Linked DNA regions of Canis lupus familiaris. The protein of the gene in region 4 purifies or fractionates together with the protein of the main gene of each other region. This does not show direct contact. Links are inferred from orthologs where the notes say so. Each region holds a gene or a part of one and is shown on either strand. Other genes may lie near its edges.

Region 1 (4,211 bases), on a different chromosome or scaffold from region 4:
CAGACTGTCAAATCCAGTGGAGAAAGGAGAACTACCTTGCTGATTCTGTCCTATGTCCCTTTGGCTGAGAATGAGAACCACAGACTTGAAGATGGGATGGTCTTCAAAAACCATTTCTACTCCCAATTTCTTTGCTTCACAATTGAGAAAACTGAGGAAGAGCCCTGCCATGGGTCACAGAGTAAGCTGACAGAAGCACCCTCCCCCCAGTCCTTCTGGACCTTCCACCCTCACCCCTATGCTATGCCCGCCTTGCAGAGGTTTACACAACAGTCTGGGACACCCACAGAAGGCAAGCTCTCCTCCTCTTGGCCCTTCCATCCTCAGACCTGCATGCGGCTAGAAGAAGATCACCGTTTCCAGCTCATTAGGATAAGGATATGTAAGCCCAGATAGCTTCTTGAAGGCCCTCTAGATCATGACACGCCCTGAGAGAAGTCCCAGGGTCGCAACCACCCACGGAGTACCATGCCTCTGCCAGGCATCCACAGTCACCAAACACTTGAGCTTGGAGCCATCGGAACCACTGGAGTATCTGTGGTTCTCAACCTGTTGGGGTCTTAGGCCTGTCCTAAGGGTGGCTCAAAGTTATGGGTGCATGGAACAGCACCTCACACTCTCATGTTTAATTATGCCCACAGTCCCCCTGGAATTCAGAGACACCCTGAGCCTGCCCAGAGGTCTCCTAGGGAGTTAGCTTCTTTATTTTAAGGAGAGGATGGACAAAAGCCACGGCTTCCTTCCCCAGGCCAACTGCTGAGCCCCATCACTGGCACGGTCCTCCCACATCAGAAGGTAGCAGCCACTCAGGTCACCACTCCTCACTTCCTCAGCTGGTCAGGGGGGTTTCACATCAGCCTGGACCTGACTGTGCCGGGGAGAAGGAAAACACCAGGGTAAATACAGCCAGGAGGCTGGCCAGGAAGCCAGCGATATCCTGGGTACTACTGCTCCTTCCCCACTTCTGGCCAGACTGGGCTACACAGGGCTAGGAGGGGTCTGTGCCCAAGCTGGGACAATGCTAAGCCCACCTGACGGGGTTAAGCAGACCTTACTGGGGCATAAGAATAGCTGAGTCTAGTGGCTCCCAGGCACCAGGCAGCCTGGGGATGCCTGAGAGAAAGATGCCCAGGCTGTACTGGCCCTCAACACCAGGCCCTGCAAGTAGCCCCGGCCTTGGGAACCAGGGGCAGGCAGTCCTCGGAGTAGCTACCGCCTCTCCACCCCCCCCCCGCCCCCATCTGCTCCCAAAGAAACACTACCCCAGCCTCCCCTGGCCCATCTGCCCAGCTTTCTGCCCCTTGACCTCCGCCACCTCAGCGGGCGCCCAGACCATGCGAGCAGCAGGTGCAAGACGCGGGGGTGGCACCGAGCTGACACGAAACCCCACTCGCCCCCACCTCCTGAACCTTGCGGGCCTCCGCCACAGCCCTCCTGCCACCCCAGGCTGGCGCTTCCGTCGGGAGGTAGAGATGGGGGCGGGGGGCAGCCAGCCGCCTGCCTCCCTCAGACTCCGGGGTGGCGCCGGCAATGTCCTTCCCCGCCCGTCCGCGGACGCGAGGGCACCGGGGCCCCCCAGCCGGCCCTCCCGCCAAGGACGCGGCTCCGCAGTGGCCCGGGCGGGGGCCGAGGCCGCAGCCCCCAGCCCCGCGCCCCGCCCTCCGGCCCCGCACGGCGCTCTCGCCAGGCCCGGCGCCCGCCCGGCGGCCTCGCAGCGCGGTCGCGGTCGCAGTCGCGGTCGCGGTCCCGCCCCCGGCCCGGCCTTGCTCACCCGGGGCGCTGCAGTCCGCACACACCTCCGCCCGCGGCCCCTTCCGGGACATCCTCAGCGGCGACGCGGCCGCAGCCCTCTGGGCCAGCGTGGGGGGCGCGGGCGGCGGGCCCGGGCGGCGGCTGCCTCTGCTGCCCGGCCCGGCTCCGGCAAGGCCCCGGCTAGGCTCCGCGCGCCCGGCCAACCGTCCGCCCCCGGGGCTGGCCCGGAACCCGCCGTGCCCGCCTGCCCGCTCGCCCTCCGGCGCCCTCCGCCCCGCGCCGCCCCGCGCCGCCCTGCCGCCGCTCGCTCTCTCCGCCCCCTGCGCGGCTCCGGGCCGCTCCTGCAGGAAGCGGCGCAGGCCCTGCCCACCGGGGGAGGGGCAGCCCGCAACCCGCCCCGCCGCCGGGCCCTGCGGGCCGCGCCTCCCGGAGAAAGGAAGCCGGGAGCGCGGGCGGGAGGGGGCGGGGGTGCTTAAAGGGGCCGCGGCCGCCGCGCTGCAGGCCCTAGAGGGCAGCGTCGCCTGCGCGCCGGGCCTCGCCTCCCTCGCTCTCCGGCCCCGCGGCTGTGTGAGTTCCCCGCGCAGCCCTCTCCTCTTCGCTTTCCAGGTGGAGGGTAGCCCGAGGGGCTCAGGCCCGGGGACGGTGACCCTTGGGGGACCCGGGAAGAGAGGAAGGAGCTAGAGGCCCAGGCCCCCTTCCTCGTCAGAGCGCTGTGGTTTGGGGTGCCCGCCTCTGTGTGGCTGAGGCGAGGTGTGCGACCTGGCCCCCCATATATCCACATCTGTGTGTCCAGGTGTGTGTGGTCACACCCTTGCTGCTTACGCACAAAGCCAACAATATGGACGCCCAGGTGTACCCCTGCCTCCCAGCTAAAAATACATCTATACCTCATCCATGCTGCCGTCCCGAGAGGAAAGAATCTGGGCAGTTTTTAAAGGCCTCCCGAGGGGTGACCACTGTGCCTGTGGGCAGTAATATCCACTCTGCATTCGTCTTGTATACCTCCACGGTGTTTCTGGGCCACTGCAGGTTTGTGTGTCCAGGGCGTGTGCATATAACATACAGGGACCTTTTCTTATGGTGGCCTTTCTTCCTAGACTTCACACGGAGACGGCAATGGGGGGGGGGGGGGACAGGAAGCGGAGGCGCAGGCGGCACGTGGGTGCACCCCTGCACTGAGCATGCTCCCCCATACACGTGTGCCCCGCGTGCACCCAGCCCCCATCCCTGCAGCAGCAAAATGCCAGAGCGCTTTGCTTCTGGGGCCAGGGCCCGGGTGGCCAGGACCAGGCCTGGGGGCCAGGTCAGTGGTGACCGGAATTAAGGGAAGATTCCCAAGGGGCAGGGAGCCCTTCTCAGTAACAAGGGGGAGAAGGGGAGTCCTTGGGCAGGGGTTTGGGAGTTGGTCGATTTTATCCCAGCGGTGCCAGAACAGCAGTGGCTTGTGGGTGGGCAGGCTGCTTCCCTGGGGGAGACAAGTAATGCTCATGAGTCACACCACCCGAAATACAAGCAAAGCTGCCTCTATCGCCTTTTGCTGCAGCCCAGATTGACAAGTTTGTTTGAAATCGCGATCCACGGGGTATATTTATAATCGCACCTTTAAGAAAAATCTTTTTGCAGGCCTCTCCTCCCCCCACAGCCAGCCGCTCAGCTGGCGGGGCTTCTGCAAGCGAAGGTACCTCGCGGTGGGGGAGCACCACCTGCCGCACGGTGCCGCACCCACACCGAGAAGCCAGTCTGTGGGCTTGGTAGCCCCAGGCTGGACGACGTAATGGAGCGGCCTGGCCGCTCTTCCCGGCGCCCCCCACCCCCACCCCCAGGAGCGGTGGCCGCCCATTCACCCCCGATCGACCCACAGCTATGGAATTTCATTTATTAAATGTCGAGGCGGCTACTGGCAGCTCCATCGCTTGGCTGTCTTTGTTTCTCTGCTGTGTGGGCGCGTCTCGAGCACGTGGCAGCTGGAGGGCGCAGACCCGAGGAAAGGCGACCTGGGTTTGGTCTAGGGCCGCCTGGCAAAGAGACCCGGCTGCTAAGGGCATAGGTCCCCCAATCCTGGCCGAGCTCCCCGTCTCCCAGAACTCCCAACACTTTTCAGGGGAAGAATGATTCACCCCGTCGCCCCCTCCCGCCCGCCAGCTCTACCTCCGGGCTGGCCCGGGGACTACCTGGGAGTGGCCCAGGCAAGAAGCCACACTCTAAACTTTGTTCCGGAAGACCCCAGCCCCGCCACTGCGGAGCTTCTGGGCCCGAGACTAGGGATAAAAGGGTTCCAGGATCTCCCTCTGGAGACGTCTCCACCTCAGGAAGCAAGACAGTAGAAAAAGAAATATGAGACAAGGTTCTATAAACAATTTAATGAGGAAACAAACGTACAGGCATTCTTCTGGCCACTCCTAGCCGTCCCTCCCCCGCCCCAGCCCCTTCCCCAACTCCGGCTGCAGCCACAACACTCT
Region 2 (3,563 bases), on a different chromosome or scaffold from region 4:
CCTTTTAAGACCAGTTATCCATTTTGGCAATGAATTCCACATTATCTTGCCTCCTTTAACTCTTTCATGTATTTATGAATCATCTCCTCCATGAGATAATAAATTCTGGGAAGGCACAATTTTGGCATTTCACCCATTTTATCCTCTGCAGAACAGTAGAATGCTTTGCAGTTGATAAAAAATTAATTTGGAAAAAGAAAGATGAGCCATCTTCTACCATTTAAATGATATTCAAGGCTAACATGGATTTTTTTATTTTTCCAGCATTTCACAAAGTTTTTAAAACAAGAAGAAACTTAAGGAATTTTATTGCAAGCACCCAGACATCTGCTACCTAAAACCTATAATTAACATTTTACTATTACTTGTTTAATCGCCTACCTATCTATATAGCTCTGTTTTTTAAGTTCAAGCAATGACTAAACATATTAAGAAACTGAGGAGTGGGTTTTGCAATTCTTGATACTTGCTTTGGACTATGGCTCAAATACCATTGCATTAGAAGTCATTTGAAAGACTGGAAGCTAAGCACACTGGAAGCTAAGCACATTAGCTAAGCTAATGGTTCTATCTCCTCCAACTCTGCCAGGCTCTGAGCTCTTATGTATTTGAAATGCTTTCATCTGTAAAATAATGGGAGATGTATATCCTTAACTTAAAGGGGTTAAATGTTAATCATACACAATTTAGCCACCAACAATGAATAATACCCAACATAAATAATCCCTAACCAAAGATGCAGTGACAAGAAATCTAGGTCTCTCACCTTGCATAATCCACAGGAGTTTTTCCACTAGAATCCTGTGTGCCTGGGTCTGCTCCATATACTGCCAATAATTCTGCCTGTAAAATCTGCCCTGCTTTGGAGGCAACGTGGAGTGGGGTGTTTCCTTTTTCCTGAGAAATATTAATAAAAAGTAGATTAACAAGCAAATTAAATAAAACTAAAGGCTACAACAAACACAACCCACTTAGTTTCAATTTAGTATCTGAATCAATTCATGCTTTTCTCACAGGGTGAAAGAAGTTGGCTTGTGCTCCTAAAGATAACAGCCTCAAACAGGTTTCAAGATTCCCTGTTCTCACGCTTGAATGAAGTTGCTGAAAAACACACAAATCAAAAAAGTATTTGTTAAAAGTGTAAAGAATGGTATACTATAGCAGCTGGCAGATCATTTTAATATACATTATATTAGTGATAATCAGTTATTTAGCTCAGTAAGCCTCTCCCTTGCTGGTCACAACCACTCCAGAGCTCTAAGGTGGGGCCAGGTCCATTTTACTGATAAGGAAATAAGGATGGGAAGGCTGATTTGCCCAAATGCACAATCTAAGTGGTACAATCAGACCTGAAGTGAAAGGGGGTATGAGAAGATAGGTGAACACAGCTCTGAAGTCTCAAAGACCTGAAGTTAAAACCATATACCCTTCAAGTTGTGTGACCTTGTGGAAGTTCTTTAAACAATCTGAACCTTAGTTTTCTCAGCTCTAAAATGGTGAAAACAATGCCACTTATTCAAGGATTACTGTAAGGAGTCAATGATATAACAAAATGCTCAGCATGGAGCCTGGTATACAGGAAACACTCAAAGAATACAACTGCTGTTATTATAATCATTATTATTTGTTGTTGTTATTTAACCTAGGGCTTTAGGGCTGCGTACCCCATGCTGTAAACTACTGGATTCTGCTTTATAGCACACCCTCTTCATAACAACATTCTTGGCCTTGTATATAATACTTTAACAAAATCTTTCAGGCTGGGAAATAGGCCTGGTGTATACCAAATTCTGTACCACTGCAGAAAAGCTCTTAAACATGCAGAAGATTAGCTGCTTTTTTCAAGTCTAACCTAGAATTGTCTAAAATGCAATAACCCTTATTATAAAAATGCAGAAGTCTACTCCAGCATCTATATCCACACCTTATTTTTACAATTAATGTATTTAATATTCTTAAGTTGTGGTAAAAACCCCATGCCAAGCTTATTAACGGAAGTAACAGTTATATATGTTTTCTATGCAAAGTTTAAAATTCCTTTTTTTTTTTTTGCAAAGTTTAAAATTCTGATTGCAAGTGTCCAAGCTCTGTGCGAACATTTCCTAAAAGCAGTGCTTTGAAAATAAAAATGCATGTTTCTCATGGCATCTCTCAAAATCATGCAAAGGCCCACATAAAGAAAACCATCTACTCATTTTACAAGTATAATAAAGAATCATAAGCACTACAGCTTTCAGTCATCCTGCTTCCTGAAGATCCTACTCAGTATGCAACCCAGAAACCTAAAGAGGTCCCTCGAACTTTCTAGTCCCTTCTAGAAACAAACTCAAGGGATGGTTCCTATTTTAAAGTTAAATGAAAAACTTTTAGGGATACAATTTTAGGGGTGTCTGGGTGGCTCAGTTGGTTAAGCGTCTGTCTTCGGCTCAGGTCATGATCCCAGGGTCCTGGGATCAATTCAGTGGGGAGTCTGCTTCTCCCTCTCCCTCTCTCTCTGCCCCTCCACCTGCTCGTGCTCACCTTCCCTCTCTTTTTTAAAAAAGATTTTAATTATTTGAGATAAAGATTTTATTTATTTATTTGAGAGACAGAGAGATAGTGAAAGAGAGAACATGAGCAGTCGGGAGAGGGAGAAGCAGGTTCCCTGCGGGGTTCAATCAGAGGATCCTGGGGGCCATATCCTGAATTGAAGGTAGGTGCTCAACCAACTGAGCCACCCAGGTGCCTCAAGAAATATAATTTCAAAACCATTTCTGAAAAACATAAATAATTTTCTAGATACATACTTATTTTTCCTTGTACCTCCTTGTACCTCCACTAACATAGAATGGCTGCCATTTGAACTAAAATTAAAGATGTAACCAACTGCAAAAAAGGTTGTTATTAATTATTTAGAGTACAGAAAGTTTCTGTTTTGTTTTTCTTTTCTTCCTCTTTAAGTTTTTTTCAAACAAAACAATATATCATTTGATCCAGCAGTTTTAGGGATTTTAAAAAGTGTGACCCACCTTGCTAAGATCTTTGGCAGTCATACTGTCATCATCCCGGCAAGGCAAGCGATGGACAAATGCTAACATCTGATATTTGGCTCTGATGAATTCTGCTTTATTAGGACTGATTACCACCCAGAAAAAAAAGAAAGAAAGAAAGCTGCTTACTTGCAGTTCAGATGCAACATTTCCCATTCTTTAGGCCGTAAAAAGAAAAGGAAGTGACCCATATCCCCTACTAGAGAAGAAAATGAATGACACTGAAATAAGTTCCAGCAGGAGTTTAAGACCTGAAGTCTCAAAACATCAATTAGTCATTCTAAAGGCCAGGACTGCAGAATACTTGCTTTTTAGAGCTTCTCTCTTTGTAATTTTCTTAACTGACCTACAGCCTTGTGAGGAAGCAGCATTGTATCCCATCCTATAGGTGAGGCATCAGGCAGACCAGAGCCCAGAATGGAGATTTTTGGTCTGATTGCCTCTTGTTTGAGCACCTAAGCTTAAATCAGATTACATTAACAGTCTCTGAGCATTAGTGTCAAACTGGAGAAGCCACTGACTTGTGCTGTACAA
Region 3 (4,291 bases), on a different chromosome or scaffold from region 4:
GTTTTTGAAATGTATTTGCAATAAAAGATATTTTTTCTAATATTAGTAAAACTATGAAACCATAAAAATGGAATAATAGTTATGTAGGCTCTTTTGATTACTGTTTAGAATATTAGAATTTGGTCCTATTCATTTAACTGGTCTTTATTTTTCCTTTTAAAAGGATACCACTACTTTTCCAGTTTTCAGATCATTAGTATTGGCTTTGTTTCTGTGTATGTAGTTCTATAAATGTGAATGTGTGATTGTAGAAAAGATTTAAAGTCAGAAGAAAACTTATCTGGTGTGTGTATGTGCACTTGCGTATAGCGTGTATATGTTTATAAAAGGGAGGGAAGAAAAGAGAGGTAATTGAACTGCTTGATATGAAGTTCAGGAAATGAGGCCTGTACATAACCCCTCAGGAAGAGCAGGATCAATGATAGGGAACAGTGGTGGGATTTGTTTTCTGTTAGATGCCTGACTTGATCTATCTTTCTAGGACAAGCAGTGAGCAAGAAGCATTAGGAAATGAGTGACCTTAGAGCAGGTGATAAGAGTAACCATAGGTATAGGATGTTTCCAAGAAGCCCACTATTTGAAACTTTGTCAGTAACTATATAAAACTTTTAGACTGTTCAGAAAAGTGTTTAGGTTAAAAAAAACAACAAAAAGTAAGAAAGTAGCTTGGTTACAAAACACTGTTTTCTTGGTGGGTAATTGAGCATGGATATTAGCCAACATGCACCATCATTTTTAGCAGTAGGATTTTTTTTTTTAAGATTTTATTTATTCATGAGAAACAGAGAATGGCAGACATTGGCAGAAGGAGAAACAGGCTCCCTGCGGGGAGCCCAATGCAGGACTCAGTCCTGAGACCCCAGGATCAGGCCCTGAGCTGAAGGGATGCTCAACCACTGAGCCACCCAAGCATCCCTAGAATTTTTAAAGTAAAGATTTCAAACAGGATATTTTGTTTGACATGAACAATGTTTTTTAAACATTTGAATTTGTTACCAGTATTTAAATATTGGGAAATTTACTATAAAAAGTCAGGTGACAGACTTCCTTTTAAAATTGGAAGACCTGGGCAGCCCCGGGGTGCAGCGGTTTAGCGCCGCCTGCAGCACGGGGTGTGATCCTGGAGACCCGGGATCCAGTCCCGTGTCAGGCTTCCTGCATGGAGCCTGCTTCTCCCTCTGCCTGTGTCTCTACTATCTCTCTCCCCCCCCCTCCCTCCCTCCCCCTGAATGAATGAATGAATGAATGAATAAATAAATCTTTTTTTTAAATAAATAAATAAAAATAAAATTGGAAGGCCTGCCAACCTTGCCTGTATTTCTACAAGACAACAATCACCACTAAGTGGCCACTTTCTTTAAATTGGCCATGCACTGTTCCTTCTCTCTGTCCACCCTGTCATTTGTTTATATGTCTTTTGACCCTTGTAGGCATTTGAGTTTATGACCTCTCATTAGTGTCTATTGTCTTTAAGAATTCAGCCGAATATCTGAGCTAGTCTATGAGATAGCTACTGTTAGCTCACATTAACTCATGTTTTCTCATGTGTTTCTCCAGTTGTCTGAAGGAGAGAAGATAGCTCTTGTGCTTCAGATGTTAAACTAAAGGATTTGCCATGGGTGTTAGAGCATATTATTTAAGAGACTTTGGAGTCTGGCTGCTTGGGTTTGCATCCTGGCTGTCTTGTTAACTACATGGATGATTTTGAGCAACTTAGCTTTTCTTGGCCTTGATTTTGTCATCTCTAAAAAGGGTTGGTTAGAGGTGTAAAGGAGATAATCTATGTAAATAGCATAGTGCCTAGTACTTAGCTAAGATTTGAGCACTTTATTATTATTAGTGTAATATAAAAATGCTAATAGATATCTTTCAAAATGTTTACCCTATGTATTTTTTTCTCTTTTAGCCAAATGATTTCTCTGTATCACTAAAAGCACAAGGGAAAAACAAGCATTTTAAAGTCCAACTAAAAGAGACTGTCTACTGCATTGGGCAGCGTAAATTCAGCACCATGGAAGAACTTGTAGAACATTACAAAAAGGCACCAATTTTTACAAGTGAACAAGGAGAAAAACTGTATCTTATCAAGCATTTGTCATGATAATGCTGACCAGAAGTGACTGCTATAAAGCTATAACTCATCATGTAATTGAAGACTGAGAAAATGTCAATCCAATCATATTTGATTGGAAATTGATTTCTGACTCTACATGAGAATTGAGTGTGATACATAAGTATTTTTATTATAACTCAGCCCATACATATATACTACATATGCAAAGCATCTGCATAAAGCAGTTCCTTATCCTTGGTCTTCTGTTTTATTGTTTCTTGTCTGTTTTTCTCTTTGCTTCTAATATTAAGGTTTTATATTTTCTAAAGATGATGCAGATCGAAAGTCTTTACATGGAAGAATTTATTGGTTTTTTTCTTTATTTCCTTGTAAGGGCACCATATTTAGGTCACTTCTGCAATGGTTTCTCTTCATATAAAATTATTATATCAGTATATGGCATATGCTAAAATAAATTTCTTGGACAATGTTCTTTTCTGTGACTAAATAGCAATAATAAATGGATAATTAGAAATTATTTTCAGGTATTTGTTGCAAGCCATTGTAAATATCAAGTATGTTGTGTCTGCCATTTTTAAAAAATATTCATTGTCTTCATTGTAAAGCAAAACAAATGGGACATAGGTTTGAAAACGTATCTTGTACACTTTTAATTTGCAACTGTTGGAAACAAAAATCTAAACTTCTAGGACTTTTTTGTGGGGTTGCTTCTTACCTGGTTATTTAAGAGAATAAAGCAGTCTCTGAGATATTTAGCTTTTTAAACTATAAATGGATGCCCTAGTGTTATGTTTTTTTTTTTCCCCTAGTGTTATTTTGACAAAGCATCTTGTATTGGGGCATGTTGTATCTGTGTCAGTGTGAAAAAAGCTGCAGCCAAATGTTGGGGAAGTAGGAGGCAGTGAGATACTTGTCTCCCCTCCCCAAACATGTCTATCAGTATTAGGTATAGTATTTCTGCTATTTTCTTTTCCTCCTTTCAGCTTTGAGTTTTGTTGACTGAGACACTAAAATTGATCATACCTGAGGAAAAGATGGGATGTGCCAAATGGTTAGAGAAGGTTATTTTTGAAATCTTACTTTTGGAGAGTTTCTATTGTTTTTGTTTACTAAACAGAAGCTTGGGTGTATGAATGAGAGGCTACTATAGAGTATTGAATCTACTTCTGCAGGTCACAGAAGAAAACAGCTGTATTTTGTGGTCTTAGCTATCCTCTCCGACATAATTTGTTCTGGAATTTAAATTTAAGCAAAATTACTTTCAGTATTAGGAAATCTTATGGTATTTTTAAAAATTTCCCCAGTGCGGCCTAAGCAAATGAATGTTTCTATTCTTTAATGTGTTATAGATAAGTATTTAATACACCAAAATTACTGATGTTAAAATTGAAATTGTCTAATTCCTGAGGTTTTTGGATTATTTTTTTTAATTATTTTAAGTAATTTTTATTCTTTAACTCTTAAAATCATTTGAAGACTTACATTGCCACTGGGTGGCAGCCCTGGCTTCTCCCACTAAGCAATAGGAGTCAGCAAATACAATTAAAGCATTGATGTACAATTTTTTATTTTCACCACATCTACTTTTAAAGCCTTTTAGTTCATATTTCATTATCTTTGTCAGTCTCTCTTTGTTTATTGAGATGATTATTAGTAGACAATTGTAATAGAAATAAAAGTCATGTGCTTACCTGTTTTTGCTGTAAAATCACTTGAATATAAGTTGAAGAAAATAGTTTCAAAGTGTTATAAATATGATTAGGTAGTAAACACCTTTTTATTTGATTTTAAACAGCTGATGATGCTTTCTTTTTCTCCATTTTTTGTTTTTCCCCCCAGTCTTCTTTTTAAAAAGATATTTCTTAAAAAAAAAAAAGAAGCAATTAATACTTTGTAATCACAATGTAATTGATGCATTAATCATGTATCACATGAGCTATATTTATAGCAAACCCCACTGAACTTATGTTAAGGATTTTAAGAAAGCAGCTAGGAATGGAGAAGACTGGAAGTAGATTGCACATTCTCTGACATAATTAGATTTATAATAACTAGAGAGTTCCCAGATAGGCCACATGACCTGCACCTGCATATAACAAGCACTGCATATACTCATCTTCCACAAGGCAAAAGACTTGGGTATCTGATTGTTCAACAAAACAAAGCTTGAACAGCATCCAGGAGGTGAGGCAGGCAAACCAGGCTGTAGAACTCTTC
Region 4 (3,563 bases):
TGGAGACCCGGGATCGAATCCCACGTCAGGCTCTTGGTGCGTGGAGCCTGCTTCTCCCTCTGCCTGTGTGTCTGCCTCTCTCTCTCTCTGTGACTATCATAAATAAATAAAAATGTTTAAAAAAAAAAAAATTCTCACTAAACTAGGAACTTCTCAAAAACAGAGGAAATATATATGTATTAATAATGCTTAACATAGTTCTGGGCAGGTGTCAGAAAGGCAGTAAATAATGAACAAATGAATTAATAAATTTGATCTTCATAGCACTCCTTTCTAAAAAGACATTGTTAATTCCTAATTTGTGTTGTGTATAGTGAGAACAAGGAAGGCCATTTCACCCACATGGGATAGGCCTGGGCACAGAGGGGAGGAACATAGATTTTGACCTAGGAGGAGAGATGAGTTTATTGGGATTTGCTCTGCTGTGGGTGTTCTAATACACCTCTATAAGAGGCTCCTGAGTGTTTTCTGTGCTAACAAAGACTGTCTTTACCAAATTCTTTTACCAACAATACAGGTATATACACGGTCTGTGATTGAACCACTTCCTGTTACTCCAACTCGGGATGCGGCTACATCTCCTATTTCACCTACTGAGAATAATACTACTCCACCAGATGCTCTGACTCGGAATACTGAGAAGCAGAAGAAGAAGCCCAAAATGTCTGATGAGGAGATCTTGGAGAAATTACGTAAGCACTTTGTAGCTGTCTGAACTTGCGTTTTGTGTGTGACTGAATGAGCACAAAGATGGAAAAACATTGCTAAAAGGATCCTAGTCCTAGACTTGGTCTATGTGGCTGGCTGGCTATGCTCGATATCTTAGCCACATAAGGTAGGCTTCTCACCTTGCCCCTGCACCTACCTCCTCTGTCTCAGCAACCCTGATTGGATATTGTGTTAGGATAGAAATGTGAGGGGAGTGTGGACAGCTCACTTCGAGCTAGGCATCTCTCAACCGTAGGCATCGGTTATGGAGATGAAAAGTAGCTTTTATCTAATGGAATAGTGTGGAATGTTGTGTTGAGAAAGACTGAGGCCTTACCCATACCTGGTAGGAAAGATTGCTGTGATTATTGATGCTTGCCATTGACTTAGGAGAAGACTGCTCTGCCATCTTGGTTGTAGGAAAAGAGGGAAGGAAAACTAACATTTTGTGAGCCTATCTAGGTACCAAATGACAAGCAAGGTGTTTTCTTGATTTTTTTTTTTTTTTGGTTCCTTTATTCCTCATATTAACCCTGTGAAGACAGACATTATAATCCTCATTTTTTGCAGTTTAATGTATTTGAGGCTCAGGGATGCTAAATACCCTACCCAAGACAGTGACAGGGCTGGGGTCAGAGACCAAGTTATGCTGTTGTAATTAGAGCATGCTGCCTCTTGCTTTCAAGTGGAAACTTCCATTTTATTTTCTTTAGTGGCCAGAAATGGGGTATGTATATTAGAGTAGGTTGTTTCTGTGTTTCAGTAAATTGCAAGAGAATTCATACTAGAAGGAAGGACTAGATTGACCTTTGGGCTTAGAAAAATCATCTGATGCAGCCTTTAATTTATCCTTTGTACCTGTTTACTTCTAAAGAGGATTTGATGTGACTAATTTGGCCAAATCCACAAACTAGCGCTCCTCTCTAAAGCCTAGGTTTCTGATTCTTTAGCTTAGCAGCTCTCAATGTCTTCCTGATAATTCTTGTTTGACTTTTATTTTTTTTTAAAGATTTTATTTATTTATTCATGAGAGAGAGAGAGAGAGAGAAAGGCAGAGACACAGGCAGAGGAAGAAGCAGGCTCCATGCCCAGAGCCCAATGTGGGACTCGATCCCGAGTCTCCAGGATCACACCCCAGGCTGAAGGTGGCGCTAAACCGCTAAGCCACTGGGGCTGCCCGACTTTTTTTTTTAATTTCACTCTTTTACAAGTTGCCCTTGCCCAGAGCCCTTACGAAATGATGAAGCAAGAAAAGCCACTTACCTAGCCATCTGTTTATTCCTATATATAGTGTTTTTATCTGAACCAGATTTATTTTAAAGCAGTCATACTTAGAACATAAAATTGTGAAAAGCAGACTGGCATGAGAGGTAAGGGCACTTGGGTTAAAGCCCCAGTCCAGCCACTGACATGGGTCTTGGGCAATTTCCTACTGTTCTCTGGGCTTCCTTTTTTTCATCTTTTAAAGAGGGATGTTAATACCTTTCTTATTTATAATCATATGAGATAGTATATGTGAAAAGTATCAAATCTTAGTAATTAGTGTTAGGGAGGACACACTGGACTGGGAGACCAAAAACCAAGCTCCTAATCTTATAAGGCCCTGACACCAGTTTGCTGTGTGACCTTTGGGGTGGGGGGGATTATGTTCCCTTCTGTGGGCCTCAGTTTCACCATCTCTAGAGTACAAGTTGTGAAACCTAACCTCTCTCACACCTCTATGCCTTTGCACTTGAATTACTGCCTACTGTAACCCCTTCTCAACTTTCCTTGGCTAACTCCTACTTACCCTATAAAAATCGTCCAGAATCACTTCCTTTCTGAAGCCTCTCTAGTCGGGAAAGGCTCTTTCTGTATTACAACAATTGTATTTTCATGGAACTTTAAGCTTAATTTTCTGTCTCCTCCCTGAGATTGAGCTTCTTGAGAGCAGGGACTGTTTTAACTATGTCTCATCTATCCCTTTATTCTTAGTATTCAACATTGGGCTTGGTACATGATATGTGAGCATATTAAGTGAGTGTTTATTGAATGAATGAATTTAAAAATACAGTCAATAAAAGCAGTAAGGAGATGAAACTTTTGGTTGCAACTTAAAACTAAAAGCTAAGGACCTGCTTAGCGTGGCTTTGGGAATTGGAGGTAGTTCTTTAATCCTTGTCAGCTGCAGGGTTTGGGGGAATATTGGGCCTGTTTTGTATCTTGATCTGGGAAAAAAAAATGATTCATGGTCTCTGTTTCTTTCAAAGGGAGCATAGTGAGTGTGGGCGATCCTAAGAAGAAATATACACGGTTTGAGAAGATTGGACAAGGGTTAGTAGGGGCATTTTCTTTCCCTAGGGAAATTACTTAAAAATTGGGTATGCTGGTGTATATGATTTTGCTTTTGTTTTGCCTCTCATAAACTTCGTTCTTTCTCTACCTCATCTCTCACCCATCTGGAGGTGTTATGTTAGGCTGACTTCAGGTTTGGCAAAATTATGCTTAGTATGAGAGACGTGCCATTAGCTGACCATGTTGCTAAAAATAACCCTTCAGTGAGAGTGCAAAAAGCATTTATCTTCTTAGCACAAAACCTGCTTCCCAAATTACAGCTCTGCTTTTTCAGATTAACCCTTTTTACCTGGCACTGAGACCTACCAGCACTAATGTGAAATGGAAGACTCAGAACTGCAGACCCCTTCTGCTAATGTAATGGGACCTGTCATTCTAGGTGCATGCCAGGATTCATGTCTCCTGCTCTCTGATTTCTTCTCTGTATCTTGCATGCTGCCCTCAGTGTACTGAACTCACCAGATCTTAACTGAGTTCCTGTTTATGTGCTAGGCACTATGAATACAGCTATGGATCTGACA

Evidence for each region.
Region 1: the proteins of PAK1 (region 4) and GIT1 purify together in Homo sapiens (affinity purification with mass spectrometry; 6 studies listed by BioGRID and IntAct, with this or other methods). This does not show direct contact. The link is inferred for Canis lupus familiaris from reciprocal best matches to the Homo sapiens genes PAK1 and GIT1.
Region 2: the proteins of PAK1 (region 4) and GIT2 purify together in Homo sapiens (affinity purification with mass spectrometry; 5 studies listed by BioGRID and IntAct, with this or other methods). This does not show direct contact. The link is inferred for Canis lupus familiaris from reciprocal best matches to the Homo sapiens genes PAK1 and GIT2.
Region 3: the proteins of PAK1 (region 4) and NCK1 purify together in Homo sapiens (affinity purification with western blotting; 8 studies listed by BioGRID and IntAct, with this or other methods). This does not show direct contact. The link is inferred for Canis lupus familiaris from reciprocal best matches to the Homo sapiens genes PAK1 and NCK1.

The regions. Positions count from the first base shown.
Region 1 is NC_049230.1:43,661,688-43,665,898, forward strand, and holds the start of GIT1 (ARF GTPase-activating protein GIT1), read right to left. Parts: upstream 2,852-4,211; 5' UTR 2,807-2,851; coding exon 2,755-2,806; coding exon of another isoform or gene 2,591-2,754; exon of another isoform or gene 2,269-2,590; intron 1,902-2,268; exon of another isoform or gene 1,824-1,901; coding exon of another isoform or gene 1,772-1,823; intron 1-1,771. Other genes in the region: uncharacterized protein LOC119876655, read left to right, coding at 2,591-2,781, 3,376-3,634. UniProt on the Homo sapiens protein: GTPase-activating protein for ADP ribosylation factor family members, including ARF1.
Region 2 is NC_049247.1:17,528,891-17,532,453, reverse strand, and holds part of GIT2 (ARF GTPase-activating protein GIT2), read right to left. Parts: intron 3,115-3,563; coding exon 3,009-3,114; intron 1,102-3,008; coding exon 1,015-1,101; intron 898-1,014; coding exon 767-897; intron 1-766. UniProt on the Homo sapiens protein: GTPase-activating protein for ADP ribosylation factor family members, including ARF1.
Region 3 is NC_049244.1:33,892,824-33,897,114, forward strand, and holds the end of NCK1 (cytoplasmic protein NCK1), read left to right. Parts: intron 1-1,906; coding exon 1,907-2,101; 3' UTR 2,102-3,770; downstream 3,771-4,291. UniProt on the Homo sapiens protein: Adapter protein which associates with tyrosine-phosphorylated growth factor receptors, such as KDR and PDGFRB, or their cellular substrates. Maintains low levels of EIF2S1 phosphorylation by promoting its dephosphorylation by PP1.
Region 4 is NC_049242.1:21,495,627-21,499,189, forward strand, and holds part of PAK1 (serine/threonine-protein kinase PAK 1), read left to right. Parts: intron 1-517; coding exon 518-692; intron 693-2,957; coding exon 2,958-3,021; intron 3,022-3,563. UniProt on the Homo sapiens protein: Protein kinase involved in intracellular signaling pathways downstream of integrins and receptor-type kinases that plays an important role in cytoskeleton dynamics, in cell adhesion, migration, proliferation, apoptosis, mitosis, and in vesicle-mediated transport processes.